Oryctolagus cuniculus: one gene and its partners. The protein of the gene in region 3 interacts with the protein of the main gene of each other region in a biochemical or structural test. Links are inferred from orthologs where the notes say so. Each region holds a gene or a part of one and is shown on either strand. Other genes may lie near its edges.

What was found.
Region 1: of the proteins of WWP1 (region 3) and KLF5, one has a biochemical effect on the other in vitro, tested with the Homo sapiens proteins (4 studies listed by BioGRID, with this or other methods). The link is inferred for Oryctolagus cuniculus from reciprocal best matches to the Homo sapiens genes WWP1 and KLF5.
Region 2: of the proteins of WWP1 (region 3) and WBP2, one has a biochemical effect on the other in vitro, tested with the Homo sapiens proteins (2 studies listed by BioGRID, with this or other methods). The link is inferred for Oryctolagus cuniculus from reciprocal best matches to the Homo sapiens genes WWP1 and WBP2.

Annotation. Positions count from the first base shown.
Region 1 is NC_091440.1:39,677,652-39,684,007, forward strand, and holds the start of KLF5 (Krueppel-like factor 5), read right to left. Parts: upstream 3,776-6,356; coding exon 3,355-3,775; intron 2,318-3,354; coding exon 2,258-2,317; intron 1-2,257. UniProt on the Homo sapiens protein: Transcription factor that binds to GC box promoter elements. Activates the transcription of these genes.
Region 2 is NC_091448.1:4,795,079-4,801,470, reverse strand, and holds the start of WBP2 (WW domain-binding protein 2), read right to left. Parts: upstream 4,295-6,392; 5' UTR 3,689-4,294; coding exon 3,630-3,688; intron 1,771-3,629; coding exon 1,662-1,770; intron 166-1,661; coding exon 30-165; intron 1-29. UniProt on the Homo sapiens protein: Acts as a transcriptional coactivator of estrogen and progesterone receptors (ESR1 and PGR) upon hormone activation. In presence of estrogen, binds to ESR1-responsive promoters. Synergizes with YAP1 to enhance PGR activity.
Region 3 is NC_091437.1:111,621,052-111,627,480, forward strand, and holds the start of WWP1 (NEDD4-like E3 ubiquitin-protein ligase WWP1), read left to right. Parts: upstream 1-2,501; 5' UTR 2,502-2,878; intron 2,879-6,429. UniProt on the Homo sapiens protein: E3 ubiquitin-protein ligase which accepts ubiquitin from an E2 ubiquitin-conjugating enzyme in the form of a thioester and then directly transfers the ubiquitin to targeted substrates.

The DNA of each region.
Region 1 (6,356 bases), on a different chromosome or scaffold from region 3:
GTTCCCTAGTTCTTATCTCCTGTTTCAAGGTCTTCCAAAAGAGAAAAAAACAATAGTTCAAATAAATATTTCTAAGTTATTTCTACATCCCCCTCAAAATCAGGCTGAAATAATTTTTCAATGTTTTCTTAATATGTTTCCTGTAGTATGGTATTTCAGTATTTGTAAACAGAATGTTTTCCTGGCACTTGTCATTTGTATCTTGAAATCTTTATATTTAAGTTTTTTTTTTTTTTTTTTTTTTTTTTTTTTTTTTTTTTTTTATAGGCAGAGTGGACAGTGAGAGAGAGAGACAGAGAGAGAAAGGTCTTCCTTTGCCGTTGGTTCACCCTCCAATGGCCGCCACTGCAGCCGGCGCACCACGCTGATCCGATGGCAGGAGCCAGGAGCCAGGTGCTTTTCCTGGTCTCCCATGGGGTGCAGGGCCCAAGCACCTGGGCCATCCTCCACTGCACTCCCTGGCCATAGCAGAGAGCTGGCCTGGAAGAGGGGCAACCGGGACAGAATCCGGCGCCCCGACCGGGACTAGAACCCGGTGTGCCGGCGCCGCAAGGTGGAGGATTAGCCTATTGAGCCACGGCGCCGGCTCATATTTAAGTTTTTATAACATGTTTATTTTGTGGGCTTTTTTTAAGAAATTGGTTCTAATGATTTGATGTTGATACAGTATTGCTTTAAATAAAAAATGACACAAATCCTTTTGTGCCTTCTGAGGCATCATTTTTAAAGCCACAGACCTGTGTTTCCTATTTAAATAATTTAAACAAAAATGTGTAAGTAGGGACAAGCCATAAAGCTTAGATCCTTTTCCCCAAGGGCAGCCCATTCATTTTTGGTTCTTTTTTGTGGGTGTTGAACCATAATTTCTACCTTGAGTTGCTTACATAATAGAATCTTTCCTTTCACATGATCAATTTGTCTATATTTAAAAACCCGAGACCAAAATAACCCATTCATTTCATAGATAGAGGAAATGGCTTTTCTTTAAAAGCGGTTTCTCAAAAAGTCTTGTAACCTACCACCATTGTCGCCGATATTACTCTGATTTTAATAAGTAGTGTTTATCACTGGGATATCAAGCAATTCTAACATGCACACAAAATGTCTGCAACCATGTTCCTCTCAGGACTCTATCTCAGCACTGACCTTTGTTCAAAGGCTTTTACTTTTTAATGTAGCAGTTAGAGATAACTACTTCATTTATCAAAACTCAATTTCCATAGTAACATCTAGCCTGGGGAGATTCAAGTCCTCACACTAATCCAACAACCCATTCAAAGGAACTGTTGAATACTTTGGTTTCCATAGCAATGATGGAATAATACATTTTGCTAGGTCATTGCTTTTATTAGCAAACTTATTCTTTGAACTTTAGGTAAGGCTGCATTTATTGAAGGGAAAACAGTCACTTTATATAAGTTCTTTGCTTTAGGGCTGTTCTTTTAAGAAAATTACAAGGAGTAACCATCTATATATTAAAAAATATTTTGGGTATTTGGACGCGTTTCATGAAGTATGCCACCTAGTTTCACCTTAAAATGCATTTTAAAATTAAGTCTCTGAAAAGTGACTATCGTGGATTTAACAAAACAAGCAGACACTTTTAAAATGAAAGGGGCTATAGTTAAAAGTACATTTTAAACAAAGATGAAATCTCTCAAATAAATATACCCAATTTGTAGAATCCAATTTGTAGAATAATTTTTAAAATATTACCCCATTTCTAACCACTTGACTTTAATACTCGGCAATTTCAGCCCTACCTTTCAGCAAGTACAGAAAATACGTGAAACAGGTATTTCACACTAAACGTGAAATCAGAGATAACAGACACCGCTCAGCAGCCATAGCGCACATGCCAGGTGGAAAGGTTTTTGGTGTTCACAGTGGCTCTGTGGAAGCAAAATGATTTGCTACAAAGGAAGAAAATTAATTTCATTTTCCCCCCCTCAAGACTGAACCAGCAGTGCCATTAAAAGTTTTAAAGTCCATTAGTAAACATCGTTGTTTAGATTTTTCAGTAATTAATCCTATGTGAGGTGACAGGCAAGGCGTTAGTGAGGGAACATCAGCCTTCCTGGAACCAGACTTTTTCATGGAACTGAATTTTGAGCCAAGCCAGTACTGAAAAGGTAGGCCATTAAAAAATAAAAGTTGACAGAAGAAAGAAGAGATCAAACACGTGTTGGCTTTTAAAAGGATGAATACCACTTACACTATTTACACAACTCCCAGTATTAACAAGAAAATTACATACCAGTGTGAGTCCTCAGGTGAGCTTTTAAATGAGAAGACTTTGTATAAACTTTTGTGCAGCCTAAAATGAAGGAGAAGAACAGCTTGTCATTTCGCAGAGCCTTTTGAAACCTTTACATCTGATGATTCAGTCTTTAAAATCTGACTTTAAAGAAGAAATCTCTAGTGCTAGATGAGATATTTGAAGTTTCAGTTTTAAAAGTCTTTGCGTGCTCCCCCATTATCTTATTAAAGGCATAAAGTGATCGGTTTCATCTATCGCCTTAGTAGGAAAGAACACACAAAATCGGGCCAAACTACAAATAGAACGTTTGTGTTTATATTCCAGTAGGTAGGTTATACTAGCAACACACAGTTCAGCAACTAACAGCTACTATAGTATGTTTTTTAAAAAATTTCAATGGCTCTAGAACTACAATGCTAAGCCATTATCTAAGATGACTACAATTTTCTGTACTCCGACATTTCTTGTTTTTTCATTTAGCACGTCATGCCATATCATGTACCATAGTCAATAAATTATGCCCTGTATTAAACATAAACTAGCTTACGCCAGCAACTTGTAAATATACTCATTACTGTCATCAATTTATATTTTCAGCTGCATCCCTCATTCAAGAATGAGCATATGCTATCAGAAGCTACCATAAATCTACCCTGGACCGTCTCGTAGCTGTTATCAGCTAGCTGTCCACAGCGCCCGTTTCATTTCTACACAATATTTCACCCCCCCCAATATTTTTCCAGGCACTTAATCTATAATAAAAAACTGCAATTCATTAGATTATCTTAAAGTAAATGTAAACTCTGTAATGTGTGTGAAACTCAAATGTACTGCTGAAGAGAAAAAAGTTCAAGATAACTTTTCTCCAGAGTATTCTAGACATTTTTTAAATATATAAAAATAAGCAATAGACTACTAACTTGTTTCATACCACAGTAAAGCACAAAAACAGGGTATGAAATGAACAACGTAGGTGTTACTGTCAAGGTTCCTATATAAATGTAAGGTCTGAGTTTGGAAGAGACACAACTGCACACCTGTACAGACACACAAACACTATTGATTGTCGCTCCACCCCAGTGTAGATGACATACCAGGGTAATCGCAGTAGTGGATGCGGCGTTTCTCCAGGTCGGGGTTACTCCTTCTATTGTATCTGACGGGTTGGATGTTTTGCGAATTGACTGGCAGGGTGGCAGGTAAATTTGGATTGTGAATTGCCAGCTTGGAAGCAATGGTAGCAGCATAGGATGGCGGTGGGGTTAAATTCTGGAGCATCTCTGCTTGTCTATCAGGACTTCCAGGCTCTGAGCTCGGTGGTGATGGGGGAAAGTAAGTGGCCTGTTGTGGCAGAAACTGACTTGGCATTGTGTATGTGCAAGGGGGCATGCCCTGGAACTGTTTCATTGCAGTCTGTGGAACGGCAGAGGTGTGTGTGTTCAGGCCTGCCATGGCGGCTGACATAGAAACATTGAGAGTGTCCATCACTGCTGTCTGGTTTGTAGAACTGGGCATATCTAGATCCGGTGTGTTCAGCAGCTGGTACAGGTGGCCCTGCTGGGGAGGGACAGAAAGATGAAGATCTGGTGTAGGAAGTTCTTGTTTGATGAAGATATTGTTCACCTCTGGAGCTGCGGCCTGGTGGGAGCTGAAAATACTGGTGAACTCGGGGAGGGCCTGGGTCGGGGCCGGAGGAGGGGCGGTTGTTTCACTCTGGTGGCTGAAAATGGTAACAGGCTCTGTCTTGATGTGTGTTACGCACGGTCTCTGGGACTTGTAGAGGCCAGTTCTCAGGTGAGTGATGTCAGGGAGGAAGACGTTCATGTTGATACTGTAAGGCAGCCCTTCACTGTCAGTGAAGAACTGGTCTACCACCGAGGCACTGTCTCGTCTATACTTTTTATGTTCTGGAATTATTGGAACTGGAGGCAGCTGAGGTGTCAGATACTTTTCCATTTCACATCTTGTCTAAAAAAGAAGAGACACAAACACGCATAATCCACCTGATTCAAACGTGCTCTTTTTAAAAAACCTCTTACACCCTCCAATCCCGACATAAAGTACTAGGACAAACTCCTAAGTGTTGCTTATAAATGGACCAGGTTTATTTTGTCAATTGTGTAATAACTGGTTCACCAAAACCTTATGAAACTCTAACATGCATTTGATAAAAATCGCTCCCCTTTATCAGTCCCAGACAAAAAAAGTGAAAAAAAAAAGGCAAATCAAGAAAAAAAAGGAAGCAAACAGAAATCATATTCCTCTGTGATGCAATAGTAGGACAAACAGGATTCCCTGCCCCATTACACAGTCAAGTGTGCAATTCAAGTACGAGGGCAGTAATGAAATATTGCCAAACTACCTCAATTCTAGTTAAGCTTAACATTCTTACACTCGCACAACTCTACAAATCTTGTTTGCAGTTTTTTTTTTTTTTTTTTGCTTGGCAAGGTATTTCTGAAATACCTCATCTAAAACATTCTTCAGCTAGTTCAGTGCCTCTTCTTGTTTACGATTTAATGGAAACCTAAATACAATGTTTTGGCAAAACACAGTATCCACTGAAACAAAACAGTTTCACATTTAGCATTTGATCTAAATGTTGATTTTAATCAGTAGATTCGGTAATTGGTTAATATGATAATGAAATGTTCCTATTCATATCCCTATCTCAAACAGATCTTTAATTACCTAGGGGGAAATCACTCCCTTGGTAGCCGGGTAGGTGGGGAGAGGCTGCTGATGGGCTAGCACAGTCATCAGCCAAACATTTATCATGTCCTCCCCAGTGGGCCGGCGCTACATTCCCCCTCTCTCTGCAAAAAGCTCAGTCATGCCTTATCCTCTAGGTATCTCCTAGGCAGGAGAGTGACAAACTCAAATAACCACATAGTTTTCAAGGGGTGATTTTTTTTAAGAACATGATCCAGCTAGTAACAAGCTGCCCTCAGTCTTTTCACAGCTATCTTTTCTCCTAGAATAACATAAGCCCCCCCCCCCCCCAATTTTTAACATGGAACAGGAAATTCTCAAAGAAACACACAACTAGATGGCAGGGCTCCCATAACTAGCAACCACGGCACCTCGATCGGTAGATAAGACAGTCATTTTCTGCCACCGCTTAATTTCAAAAGCGTTTCATCTCGGGACTACAAGATCATTCAGTGTGGATGAGGCCGGGATTTCCCGGATAGACACGATTTAAAAATAAAAACGGACGCCCAGTCATGTGAGTCACATCCCCGACCAACGCCACTGGCCTCCGTGCGCCCGCGGAGGCCGGCGGAGCCCGGGCCAGGCGCTGGGGGGCACACACACCCCGCACCGAGGGGCCAGGACCGGCTCTGGAAATAAACCCAGCTAAACCCTTTCGCGCACCGCGCTCCCGCGGCGGTTAGTGGTTTCTGATTTTAGCTCTTCCAGCTGTTTGCATGTGGGTATGCTTCCAATTTTTTTTTTCCCCTTCCTTGGGACAGGCTAAAAGTCCCGGGAAGTTTTTTCTGGGCTATATGACTCCCTTGCGTGGGCGAGAGAAACAGGCGGTTGCTCTAATTCGGCTGCCGGGCAAGTGTAAGCGCCAACTGCCAGCTCTCGGCGCGGCCCGGGAGGAAATTTACGCGTACACGCACAAAACGCCACACTCCCGGTCTTTTTTTTTTTTTTTTCCCCGTCTCGTTTTTTTCGAATCAGCGCTGCGATCCAACCTCCTAGCTGCGCTAACGCCCGTTTCCCGGACACGGCCCCGCGATCGCGGGAGAGAGCAGGTGGAGCCTCCCCTCCCCGGCACCCCAAGCTGCGTTTCAGCCTCAACCCGAGACGGCGGCGATGGCGGGGCGAGGGGGGGGCGGTTGACGGCCGCCGAGAAGGCGTCATTTAAGTTGTGCGCGCAGGGTACGGGGGTTCATCCCCCCCAAACGTGAGGAAAACAACTAAGTAAGGTGCGCGGGAGCACCCGCCCCCCCCCCGGGGGGGGATACCCACCGGGACACTGACTTCCCGCGACCACCACCCCCCCCCGACATTTACTAGCTGCGAAACGGGGTGCCCGGCCAGGAGGGCAGGGCGGGGCACCGAGCGGCTCCCGGTGCGCCCCGAC
Region 2 (6,392 bases), on a different chromosome or scaffold from region 3:
AGTCCCTCCCCGGGCCCCCTGCCACCTACCTCCGGCTTCGGCCTTCACCGTGCCCTTGACGTAGTTGGCCCCGAACACGGGCTGCTTGATCTCACAGTCCTTCATCAGGTAGAAGGGCATCATGAAGGACTGCATGGCGTCCTTGCCCTTGGACAGGAAGATGACCTGGGGCGAGGAGGACGCGGCCATCAGCACCTGGCCACTGCCTGCCCAGCTGGGGCTTCCGGCTGGCTTCCTGTGCGGGGTGTCTGCTCCCGGTGCCGGCTGGCAGCCCAGGGTCCTTCCACACCGCACGCTCCCGTGTCAGCTTTACATAGCCAACGCCTTTTGTGCACTTGGGAGAGACCAGACTCACACGCTCACATGACAAACGCGCCCATCACGGGCCACACTTCAAGGGGGCAGGGAGGGCCAGGCATGTGGCGTGGCAGCCGAGACACCACTGGGTCGCCCACTTCCTACACCAGAGTGCCTGGGTCCAGCCCAAGCTCTGCTCACCATTCCAGCTTCCTGTCCATGTGCACCTGCCCCCCTCGTGAGACCCCCCAGGGCGAGTTCCTGGCTCAACGCCCACACAACGCCCACTGTCGCAGGCATTCGGGAGTGAATCAGCAGATGGGAGGGGCTGCAGGCGTGCTGCCCGAGGGGCGGCCGGGAGCCGGGGGAGTCTCTGGCCTGTGCTGCGCCCACCGGCAAGGGCAGAGTGGCAGGAGCGTCCGAGTCGGGGCCAGGGGCTGCTGTGTCCACACTGCTGCTCGAACCCGGCCTGCGTGCGTGTGGAGAGCCCGCGGGGCGTTAACATCCTGATTGCAGTCTGGGGGTGAAGACGCCACCTTGGATTCCTTTCAACCCCGGCCGTGCAGGGACGGCGTCTCATGGCTCCTCTGCCGTGGCCACGTCCCGGTGATCACGGCCTGAAGACGCGGAGAGGTGTCGTGCTGCTGCAGGCGTGCGCCTTCCAGTCCGGCCGCTCGCTACTGCTTCCCGGGGGCAGGAAGTGCTGAGCCCCTGCCGCCCACGTGGGTCCCAGAGAGCTTCCGGGCTCCCGGCTGTTGTGGGCATTTGGAGGAGGAACCAACGAATGGAAGATCTCTCTCTCTCATGCAAGCACGCTCTGCTTTTTAAGTAGTAAAAATAATCCAAAACAAAAAACAACCCATCCTGACAACGCGCCCTGCTGCTTGTCGCTTGCGGCCGTCTTTCCACTGCCCTCCGCGGCCACGGCCGGCTCCTCCTCTGAGAACATCCGCTCGTGCTCATCTCCAAGCCGGCGTGGGCAGCTGGGAGGCGAGCCGGTTCTGCAATCTGGCGTTTCTCTCTGCAGGACTCGCTGGGCTCGCTGCCCAGGCTGGAGGCTGGAGCCAGGCTACTGCATCCTGTTTACCACGTCCACCACTCCGCGTGAGCACAAAGGCCTCTCCGGCTACTCTCACAGAAACCCAGGCTGGACGACCAGGCCGCCGGCCTCCAGGCGGCACCCCGGGGTAAGCTCCGATTCACTGCCCAGCAGCCCATTCGGCTGTAGTCGGCCCGGGGTCCGGGAGCACGGGACAGAGGAACGGGCGGAGGGAAGCCCCTCAACCCGCAGGCTGAGGCTGACCTACGACCGGGACTCACCTACCCCTGAGCCCCCAGACCCACGGCGCCGCTGAGCAACTCACCCGGTAAGGGGTAAGGTAGACCGTGCCTTTCTTGGTCCCTTTGAAGGCTTCTGGCACATTCTTCATGTCATTGAACGTGAGTTCCACATGATCATAGGACATCAGGATGCTGTGGCCAGGGGAGGGGAGAGGCCCGGATGAGACACTGCAGAGGTGGGATCTGGGACCCGGCACTGGGCCCTCCTCACAGTGCAAGGAAGGGGCTCACGCAGCCGAGCAGGGTCCCCCGCAGCCACGTGGCCACTCCAGCCTGCAGGCGGGGCATCATCTGGGCCTTTCCTAGGTCCCTTTCTGTCACCTGAGCAGAGCACACGTGTCTGAGTCCCGGGCATGACGCCACACCTCTCAAACGGCTCCCTCCGGGGTTCTTGGTCTGCGGGGACACCTGACCACGAAGCCCCAGGACGATCCTGCGTGTGCGCTTTCCTGGGAGGAACCCACTATTCTACACATCCAGTGTTAAACACCAGGCTCAGTTACAGACACAACTTCCTCCTCCAACAAGGCCACTGCGATGGGCGTTCAGCCTGGTGGCTAAGGCGCCACCCTGGGGACACCGCACTGCGTATGGGAGAGCCTGGACCCAGTCCTGGTCCCCACTCCCGACTGGGAGGCAGCAGCGGCGGCTCTGGTGATGGGGTCCCCGTCACGCACGTGGGAGACCTGGACCCCTGGCCCCGCACTGGCTGCTGTGGGCATTCGGGGCAGATCAGCGGATGGGAGTCTCTCAAAAACAACAAAGCACTAAGTACAGGCACACTGAGCCCCGCGGGGGGGGGGGGGGGGGGCGGGCCCAGCAGGACGTCGTTCCGGTCCCAGACAGATACATTTTAAGTCCCCCTTAGAAAGACAAAGTCCCAGGAGATCAAGCGATGTTAGGCAGAGGCTCCAGACACAACACGCCCGTCTGTAACCTGAGGCCACTCTGACTACGCGATAGAAAAGCTCCAAGTTCAGCCCCATCTGGCTCCCCCCCCTTCCCAAATATTACAACTTTCTCCACTGGGGGGGGGGGCGTAGCAGCAGGGAGGAGGGCGGCCCAGAGGAAGACGTGCCCAGCGGCCAGCTGGTGTTAGTGCCCAGCGGCCGAGCAGGTGGGTGCAGGGAGAGCAAGCTCCCTGGGGTCCAGGGCACCCCGCAGTCTCCCCTGGCAGGGCCCGGGCTGGGTGCTGTCCGGGCTGGCACGGCTCTCCCTGCACCCTGTCCGCCCTGGAGACCAAGGCTGCTCCTCGGTTCCTTCTGCCTTCGAGAGCGAACCAGGCTCGGCGTGGCTCAAGCCAGGCCTGGCTGGCCAATGCCCCAGGCCTAGGGGGCAGGAGAGGCCACCCAGAGGATGGAAGGAGGGGAGCGATGCCCTGAGCAGGGGCGGGGAGCAGGACCAGCCCTGACCCTGGCGGCGACCCAGGCCAGCAGGCCTTCGCGACAAAGTGGCCCGGTGGGTGGTAACCTTTACAAGGACCTACTCGCGAGCCGGGACATCCGCCCTCGGGGCCCTCAGCCTCTCGCCTGGCCCTAAGCCTGGCCGTGAAGCCCGGGTGGACTCCTCTCCTGCAGCGCCCGTCTGCGCGGCTCAGCGCCCGGAGCTCCGGCAGTGGCGCGCCCACCTCCGGGCGCTCCATTCGCCCCACCGGGCCCCGCGTAGGGCAGGAAGTTTGCCGCGCGGGGGTCGGCGCCCACCAGCCGGCCGAGGCCCCGGGCCCCGCACGTAGTAAGGGAGTCAACACTCAGCAATGGCAATGTTTGCGCCAGGCTCCTCCCAGCTCCCGGGGAAGGCGCCCGACAGCCACCCCCGGGCCTCCCCACCCGCCGCCCCTGGGATCGCAACACCGCAGCCCCCCACGGGCCCGCCCCCAGCCGTCACTCCTCCTCGGCGCTCCACCAGTCCGCCCCCGCAGGGGTCTACTCCCCACCGCCCACCCCCGGACACCCGCCCCGCTGTCCTCCGGGGTCCTGCCGCGGAGTTTTCACCTCTCCGTGTTGTTGACGATCACTCCGCCGCCCTCCGAGTGATTCTTGTTGAGCGCCATAGTCTCTCCGAGAGGGGTCCCGAGACTCAAACCGCAGTACGCTTGCGCCCCACTTCGGCCCGCCCCTAGTGGCGTCGTTCTTATTAGAACCAGCCAATCACAGCTCCTGCACGGAGGCTGGCCCAACCACCTGATCCCGGGCGTCACGTGGTAATAGTTTATTCCTTCTCCCTCTCCCCCGAGTTCCGCCTGCGTCACAAACAAGTTGGAGACTACAATTCCCAGTAGGCAGTTCGCCCTCAGCCTGGCCCGGTCCCTACGCTGATGAAAGAGATGCGTTCTGGAAATACATTCTGGGACTTGTAGTCTTCTAGACCACAGGCTAGGATCGACGCTGTGGTTTGCGTAAACAATCGGACTGTGCGCGTCCCCAGAAGGCTGGGAATAAACAGTTTAGCTTCTTCCTGGGGTAGGGGCTTCATCCTAAAGGCCACGGGCGCGTATTAATAAGGCCTACAAGGACAGAATATGGGCCCTGGGGCTGGGGCCCAAGGCCCAGTTTCCCTAGGAAAACACGGCCACCCCTTTAACCAGTCAAGCCCAGGCTCTCCGAGGTGGGCTGCGAGGACGCAGTGGGGAGGGGAGACTCACTGCCCCCGCCTCCGCCATCCCCTCCCCACCCCCTCCACTCCTCCCTCCCCTCTCCTCCCCTCTTTATCCCCTCCCCCCTCTTCTCCTCCCCTCCCCTCTACTCCCCTCTTTATCCCCTCCCCCCTCTTCTCCTCCCCTCTTTATCCCCTCCCCCCACCCCTCCCTCCCCTCGTCCCCCTCCCCTCTCTTCTCCTCCCCTCCCCTCCCCTCTTTATCCCCTCTCCCCCTCCCCACCCCTCCCTCCCCTCGTCCCCCTCCCCTCTCTTCTCCCCTCCCCTCTCGCGGTGGGGCCGGGGTCCCTCGGGCTCCCTCCTCGCCGCCGACTCCACCGCAGCTGGCCTCGCGGTGGCGCTGCCCGCTCTAGAATGTTCTGCCTGGCAGCCCCAGCCAGCCCGGCCCCTGCCTGGAAAATTTCAACCAGACGGAGTCCCTGAAACCAGGCGGAGTGCGAGGCCGGCAGCCAGACACCGGGGCTTCCAAAGCTGGGCTGGCTCAGAGAAGCTGTGATTCCAGCGGCCCAGGGGCAGGCGGCGTCCAGAGTCCATTCCGGGAATGGTTAATCTCACGGGTCAGAGTTTGGTTGCCTTAGCTTTGAAAGCGATTGCGTCCCGAGGACCGCGTCACGGGGAAGATCCTGACACAGCAGCCTCGTGCGATCCTGTGCCAGGCCGGGCCGCACCTCGCAGGGCCTGGGCTGGGCACTGAGCGGGTCCCGGTGACGGCCGCCCCACGTGGTCGGGCCGGTTTGGCAGGTGCCATCTCTATAGCCCATGTAAAGAACTCATTTGTATTTTTAAAAAACAGGGCAATGAAGGGGGGCCAGCGTTGTGGCACCATCCTGCGACCCCGGCATCCTATAAGGACACAGGTTCGGGGGGGGGGGCGGTTCCCGGCTGCCCCACTTCGGATCCAGCTCCCTGCTAATGAGCCTGGGAAAGCAGTGGAAGATGGCCCGAGTGCTTGGATCCCTGCACCCTCGTGGGAGACCAGGATGAAGCTCCTGATGCTTGGTGTTCCTGGCTTAGGCCTGGCCCAGCCCTGGGTGTTGTGTGGATATTTGGGGAGTAATCCAGTAGATGGAGATGGAAGGTGAATCTCTCTCTCTCCTCTCTCCCTGCCTTTCACATTAATAAATTAAAAAAAAGGAGGGGGGAGGGACTCCCCCTGCAGTGGGGCGCTCCATGGAAGGGAGGTAGGGTAGAACCTTCAAGCCCCAACCCCACCCCTTGGCCAAACTAGGGTCCAGCTAGAGGCAAGATGCCATCTGCTGTCACTCCTGAAGTGGCTTCAATAGCTGTAGCTGGACCGAACTGAAGCCAGGAGCCTGGAACTCCATCGCAGGGGGTGCCGGCATCAGCTAACGCACTGGTTAACCCACTGGGACACAACACGGGCCCCCAGCTGCGGGATCGGGGGGGGGGGGGCTGAAGCTCAGCCGGTTTTGGACGGAATACAGGATTGTAGCGCAGGGCGCTGTGGCCACCAGGGGCCTTGTGACCAGAGGAGGAGTGTAGCCACGGGGACCTCCCGGTGGGAGCCATAGCAAGCTTAGGTGATGCCGGCCTGAAGTGTTCGGGGGAGCCACGGCCACACCGCTGCTCCAGGTCCTGGAGACGCCGGCGACCCCAGGGCTGGAGCTGAGGGCCCCGCAGCAGCTCGTTGCTGGACCAAGCCCTTCTGGGCTGGGGTCTCGGGGCTGGAACCTCTTCTCCTCTTTCCTGTCGCTCTGCCTGTGTCCGGTAAGGACCCTTCGTTTCTGAACTGAAGCGTGCGTTCTCCAGGCCAGAGCTGGCTGGCGGAGCGCAGAGAAGGGCGCAGGTGCGCCTGCGACAGAAGCCAGCGGGGGGGGGGGGCTGCGCCCCACAGTCCGCGGCCTCTTGGGTCCCAGCAGCTTCCTCTGTTGGCCTTGTGAGCCGAGCAAACCCGTGTGTGCTGTGACGCGACGAGGTGAGCAGGCTGCTCTCCAGAGACTGGTTCTCAATTTTTACATTCTGACCCACAAGAAGAAATATTTTTAAAGTATGAATTATTTATCTGGGGGGAAGCTCGTGTTCCCCGGTTCACCCTCTAAATGCATATGACAGCTGGGCGTGGGGTGGGGTTGAAGCTGAGA
Region 3 (6,429 bases):
AAAAGATATGTGAAATAAAACAGAAAACAAAAGCGGAGAAGACCTACAGTTTCACCTATGGTCAATGTCTACATTTTTATAATGTGCCATTTTGTGAATCTTCTGATAAGAAAATGGGCAGCTAACTGACCAATATTGTTTACACATTTGAAAATATACCATAATGACTTGGGCACAATGAGGAAGCACATTTATGGTTCTGTGGGAAAACTGATGTCAACAATTATAACAATAGTAATTTATTGATTAATGTATCTTCAATATATGTTATGTAACTCAAGTATTTTACTTATAGCAAGCCTCTTTTTTTTTTTTTACAATATCATGTGGCAGTATTATATCAATTTTCTAGCTGAGGTATAATCAGATTAAGTAACTTGGGCTAATCTCATAGTTTGTAGGCGACAACAGGGTTGGCTTATCCATTAAGCCTAGCAGGCACAGTGCCACAGGCTCACAATACTTGCACAGCCCATAAAAAAATTCTAATTTCTATTAAAACTAGGAGATAAAAAAATATAAACGTTTAGGTCAAAGAAAATATGTTAATGTGTAATAGTAATATAATTGTCTTTATACCAAAGCAGTGCGGAAGCACAACTTGTAATATTAATATAATTTACAATATTATTTCATGGAGGAAGAGGCCCACAAAGGTAAAAGTGCCCCGGGTCCTGAAAGTTAGGTTGGCAGAGCTGTTTTGATCACAGGTAATGTGACATTTGGACACATGCTCTTCCTAGAAGTCAACTTGTCAATTAGTTACAAAAGGACTAAACTTGTTCATATTTTCAATCACTTTGTAAGAAGTAACCTATGACAACAAATAAGGACATAGATAATGACTTGGGAAAACATATATATATATATATATATATATATATATAACAGTGTGCATTGGAAACCAAAGGAACATTCCATAATGAAAGAAAAATGGTTCACTACTGGGTATCAATTTAGTGGGCTAGATGAACTCTAGGCGCTTCTGTACAGAAACAAGCTGAGTGGGAAACTGAGCAACTGGGGGAGCTGAACGTGAGACAGAGAAGAGCAGGAAGCAGAAGGAAGCCAGCATGCACTCTGGAGGAGGGCAGATCTTGCTGGGAATTCTTAGGGAATTGCTGGGTGGGTTGGCGGGTGGGGGGGGGGGCGGTGAGTTGCAAATTCGTGGTGACATCTATTTAAAGGGACTGTTACGCAAAACGAAGAGGGCAAATCAGAGGACATCGTGGTTAAAGCACAGAGATGAGTGAGTACATTCAGGGAAGCGGAAGGAGTTTTTCCTAAGAGGAGGAACAGAGTATATGAGCATGAAAAGGGGCTTGACTATCGCGGTAACCTTCCTCAGGAAAGCTAGGAAGAGCCAAAGAATGAAGCAGCGGGGTGAGCGACGAGCTCAGACGGGCATTCAGAATGATCTTCGGGGATTCAATGGGGACCAAATTCAGGTGTGAAGGCAGAGGTCAGCACTCCTGCCCCGGAGTGGAAGGAAATGTGCATGTGTCCCACCAGGAGGTATTTATTGGATCCCACAAATATTCGTGGAGTGGCATCAACAATGACACTGCCACTCTACGAAAAGCTCTGTTGTGACAAAAGAAGAGAGAGCAGGAAGGGAGTTTTAAAGTCAATGGAAAGTTTAGGTGAGAAAAGTCTTAAAACATGGTTATGCTAACAGGTGAGGTTAGAGAAGTGCCAGGAAGGGTCCCGAGAGGGAGCAGAGCGCAGGTTCGCTTGGGAGAGTAGCAGGGACACCAAGCCTCTGAGAGTGTGGACGTAGGTAATTTGTTGGGGTAGGTGAGGTGTTTGGGCAAACACTCGAGAAATTCATGCATGAGTAATGTGGCCCTTACTCACTTGTATTTGCTCGGCCTTCTAAAAGCAATACACGGGCACTTCCCTAAACAGGCTGACTCGGCGTGAATGATGGAAATAATAGACGCTACCTGATGAGACTGTTATGGGGACTAATTGCGCTGACACATACTCTTGTTCAACATGTATTAGCTTTATCACTGGGCTGACGTGGGCAGGGGTGGGTTGTGAACGTTTTGATTACCAATATACAGAAATTGCAAGTCTTCTGGTATGTCTATCTTCTAAATGCATGTACTTTGGCAACGGGCTCTAAGTCAAGCACTCAGCTAGGTCAAGCAGACTTTATTAACAGCCTGCTTTCGCTGTAAGGCGTTCGTAAAAAAGGACGCCAGTGCCCTAAGGAGCCTGCTTGAGGTCACGCGCAGGTTGGGCCGAGTACCGGAAAGTCAAGTCAGCAGTACCTAGCACTGGCTTAAAGCCTCTTCCCAAACCTCTGCGGAAGCCCCACCCCTTTCACAGGTCCAGGCCACGCCCCCTTCCCCTATTGGCTGGCCCGCCCCCGCCCCCCCACACGAGTCGATCGCTCAGAAGACCCGGAGGAGTGGCCCTTCTAAAGGCGGCGGGGGTGCCCTTGCTGCGCATGCTCGCAAATCCGCCGGATTCCGGCTCCGGAGTTGGAGTCTTTAGGTGGCCGCTGCGTAGCGCGGTGCCCGGGCGGGTGGAGGGGGCGCGCGCTCTGGGCGCGGCGCCGGTGACGCGGGCACGCGGCGTGCTCCCGAGGAAGGGAGGTGTGGGGTCGACTCGGGGGTGGCGCGTGGCCGGGGTGGGGGTGGGGGGAGGGTCGGGTGTCGGCAAACGCGGCGTGCGGGTTTCGAGTGGCTGCAGGCGGCCTGGGCTGCCGGGGCCGACGCCTGGGTGGCTGCCGCTGCCGCTGCCGCCGCCGCCGCCGCGCCTGCTGCGAGATGGCGATCTTAGGCGCGGAAGGTTGAGGGCGCCCGCCGCGGGAGGAGGCGCCGCAGCTGTGGCCGTCCGCTGCCGGGCGCCGGCAGCTTCGCGCAGGGTAAGGACGCCGGGGCGGGGGGCGCGGGGCGCGGGCCCGGAGCCTCGGCCGCGGTGTGGGGAGTCCGGCGCCGACCGCCCCCGGGCGGGACTCTCTCTCTCTCTCTCTCTCTCTCTCTCTCGGGGCCGTCGGGGGACAGTTCGCGCCGCCGTGTCTGCCTTCTCCAGCCCGGGGGGCCTGGAGTTTTCTGGGCTTGGGTCACGGGTCTTGCCCGGAGTTGGCCCTGGCACAGGCCTGGGCGAATGATCCTGGAGCGGGGCGAAGTGTTTCCGTGACTCTGCAGCCGCAGTTCCCCGTTCCCTTCGCCTTCTCGTCTGCTGCTTCTACGTTTCTGCCTCACACCTCCCTCAAAGCACGGACTCCCTGCCCGTGCCCTGACTTTCACCCCCTTCCGCCGTCCCAAACCAAGGACTCCAGTCTCAGAACGTCTCTTTCTGACGTGCTTTTTTTTTTTTTTTTAAATCTGGCTTTTCCACTGATTCCGCAGCCACCCCCCCCCCCAACACAACCCCCACCTCTACCTTTTGTGACCTGGTAGATCTCAGTGACCTTGCAGATTTTGCCAGTCCCAGCCTCACGTGTGACTTCAATCCCCTTCTTTAATCTTTTTTTTTTTTTTTGAGGGGTGGTAGTGGTGGTGGTAAATTTAAATTGATACTTTGTCCATTGCTTTTACAACATTTAAATTGCCAGCCTCATATGCACAAGGACTGTGCAGAGCTTTTCTTTACTCCGTGGATGTGGAGTTGACTTTCTTTTGCTCCGGTAATTACGTGAGAGCTTCGTTTCCAAAAAGCAAAAACAAAAAACACACACCAAAAAAACAGTAGTTATCTATGTATAAATTTGATGTTTTTACTCCTTAAAGACAGAATATTTTGTAAGGGCTTGCTTTAGTTTTCCTTTTTTTATTTGGAAAGATTTTAATCTTTTTTGTGTGTAGGCTCATATGCATAAAGATTGGAGTTTTTGCTTTAAGATGCTAATGGTCATAGTAGCAAAAGCTAATGTCCGAAGTTATCTTTCTTCCCCCTCTCCTCTTTAATATTTTTACCTGAAACACCTGGTTTATAGCTGTCTGCAGGTTTCTACAAGAGTTCATGCTTATGTTTAAATCCATTTTTACCTGTCTCATCAAGTCTGTGTATTATGCAAGCAAAAAATCAGGTTTTAAAAAATAAAGGCATTCTTTTATTTATGTGACTTGTTTTTAGCCATAAAGCAGTATATTGTGTTACTGGAAATTATTATTTTTCATAAATAGTTAATATTTTTAAGTTGAAGATGTTAGTGGCCAAGAGTTGGGAGCTACTTGAACTGAAAAGTGTGAAATGTGTGGAATAGTTCTTTGGAACATAGCTTACAAACATTTCAAAGTGTTTTTCCCATAAAGTGAAGAACTGCTTGTAAGACCCACAACACCATCGTTTTGAAAAGCAGTCCTTACAATGCTTGTTTTTTGGAAGACTAACATGATAGAGGATGTCATAGATAAGGTCTCTGCCTTCAAAGAGATTGTAATCTTTGCTGTTTACCCCAGGACGATTGACATTTCTTTTCCTTCCTTGCACAGTTATTTAGCATCTACTGCATGAGGTATTTTGGGGAATACAAAGAATAATTAACAATTTCTGTCCCCAGTCCTGCGAATAATACACACAAATGCCCCGTTTGTCTTTTAATATATAGTAAAGTTTCATAATGATACAAAAATCCAACCAGAATTTAAATTCAGAAGTGGTAGAGTTGCGATCCTCTGGAAAGGTGCAGTTAGTTAGGAGAACTTCTGGCTTTCTAAATCTTAGTTTTGAAGAATGACTGACATTGGATAGACAGGGAAAGATAATCCAAGCAAAGAGAAGAATCTGAGAGGGCACCAAGTTCATACATCTGGGAAGAGGCACGTAATTATGGTTAAATGGAACACAGAGTTTTTGTACTAGGATAAAGGGTGATAAAGCTTTGGTAAAGGCTTGGGACTAGTTGTGGATTGTTTTTAATGCCATGCTAATGACCTTGAATTTCCTAAGCATTGAGGGCTCCGAAGATAATTTTTAAGTTGGGAGTGAAACAATTTTAGACTATTGTTTTAAGAGGCTTAATCTGGTAGCAGCTTGTATGAGTGGAGGACTAGAGATCCTGGAAGTAGGAACACTTCCTGATTGTCTTAATTGTAGGTGGGGAGGCTCTAAGCTGTTTTGGTAATAGGATTGGAAAGGAAAAAGGAAATAGAATAGCCAGAATTTGAGAGGGATCCAGGTAGATTGGAGGAATAGGACCATTTTGAGCAAGATCCTTGTAGACTTGACCCTCAGTGTTTGTGAGTTACTTTACAACTTTTTGCTGTTTATTAATCCTAACTAAAAAAGCTGCTAGCCTGGAAGACTTCCAGAGGCACAGTGAGGACTCTTCAAAGAGTTTGGAAAATGTGCATTTATTTTTAATTTCTTTTGAGAGACACCGCTCTCAGTTGCTGGTTCATTTCCCCAATGTTTGCAGCTGCAGGCTGGGCCAGGTGGAAACTGGGAGTCAGGAATTTAATCCAGGTCCCCTATGGAGGTGGTAGGGACCCAGCCACTTGAGCCATCACCTGCTGCCTCCCAGAGGCATTAACAGAACTGAAATCAGAGTGGAGCTGGGACTTGAACCCAGGCACTGTGATATGGGATGTGGGTGTCCTAACTGATGGCTTAAGTAGTAGGCCAAGCACCTACTTCACATTATTTTTAATTTTATTTTTGAAGTACTCTTGTATGCCTTATGGATATAATTTTAGGGGAGTCCATGGACCACCTGAAGCTCATTCATGAAACCCCCTTGGCCAGTCAGTTGGGCTGGGGGCTTCTGGGAGCTTTTTAAAATAGCAGAAGCTTCAGATTCTTCCATTCACTGAAAAGAAGACCTACTGTAGAGATAAACTGTGTATAAACCTAGAGACATAGTGTTATGCTTGTGTTGTGGTTGACAGTTTGCAGAGATTTTATACTGTCTCTTGTTATTTTATAGAACAAAGTAGCCAAGAGTATAAATGATTTGCCTTAGAGTTGCTGGTGGGTGAAGTGGAATCAGGAGTGGGGTGACAAAGATGGTTTTCTTTCTTGTATTCAGATAGTACAGCAAATTTACCATTACTTGGAAATACTTACTGCTTTAAGTGACCTCATCAGTAAGGACTAATTGATCCCAGGAAATGACCCTTCCAGCTCTGAACATTTTTAGATTCTTTAGTCTTAGATTTTCATTGTAATATCTGTACGCTTGTTTTCTCTTTGCCTGAAAGCTGGTAGGTCTGAGGAATGAATTGGTGGAGGGAGAGCAGGTAGCATTAGCACACTGATCATCTTGATAACTATTGTCCTGATATCTCTCAGCTTGGGAAGGGAGAGGGAGGTGATGTAAATGAAATAAACTTTAAGGACTTTCTAATCTTTCTGTTCCTATATGCCTTACTTATGAATACTCCTTTCAATCATTCAGGAAGCCCGAAGCAATTGAAAATGGAAACTTTACAGAACAAATGAAATGAGAATTCCTATTCAGTAATTTTTAAA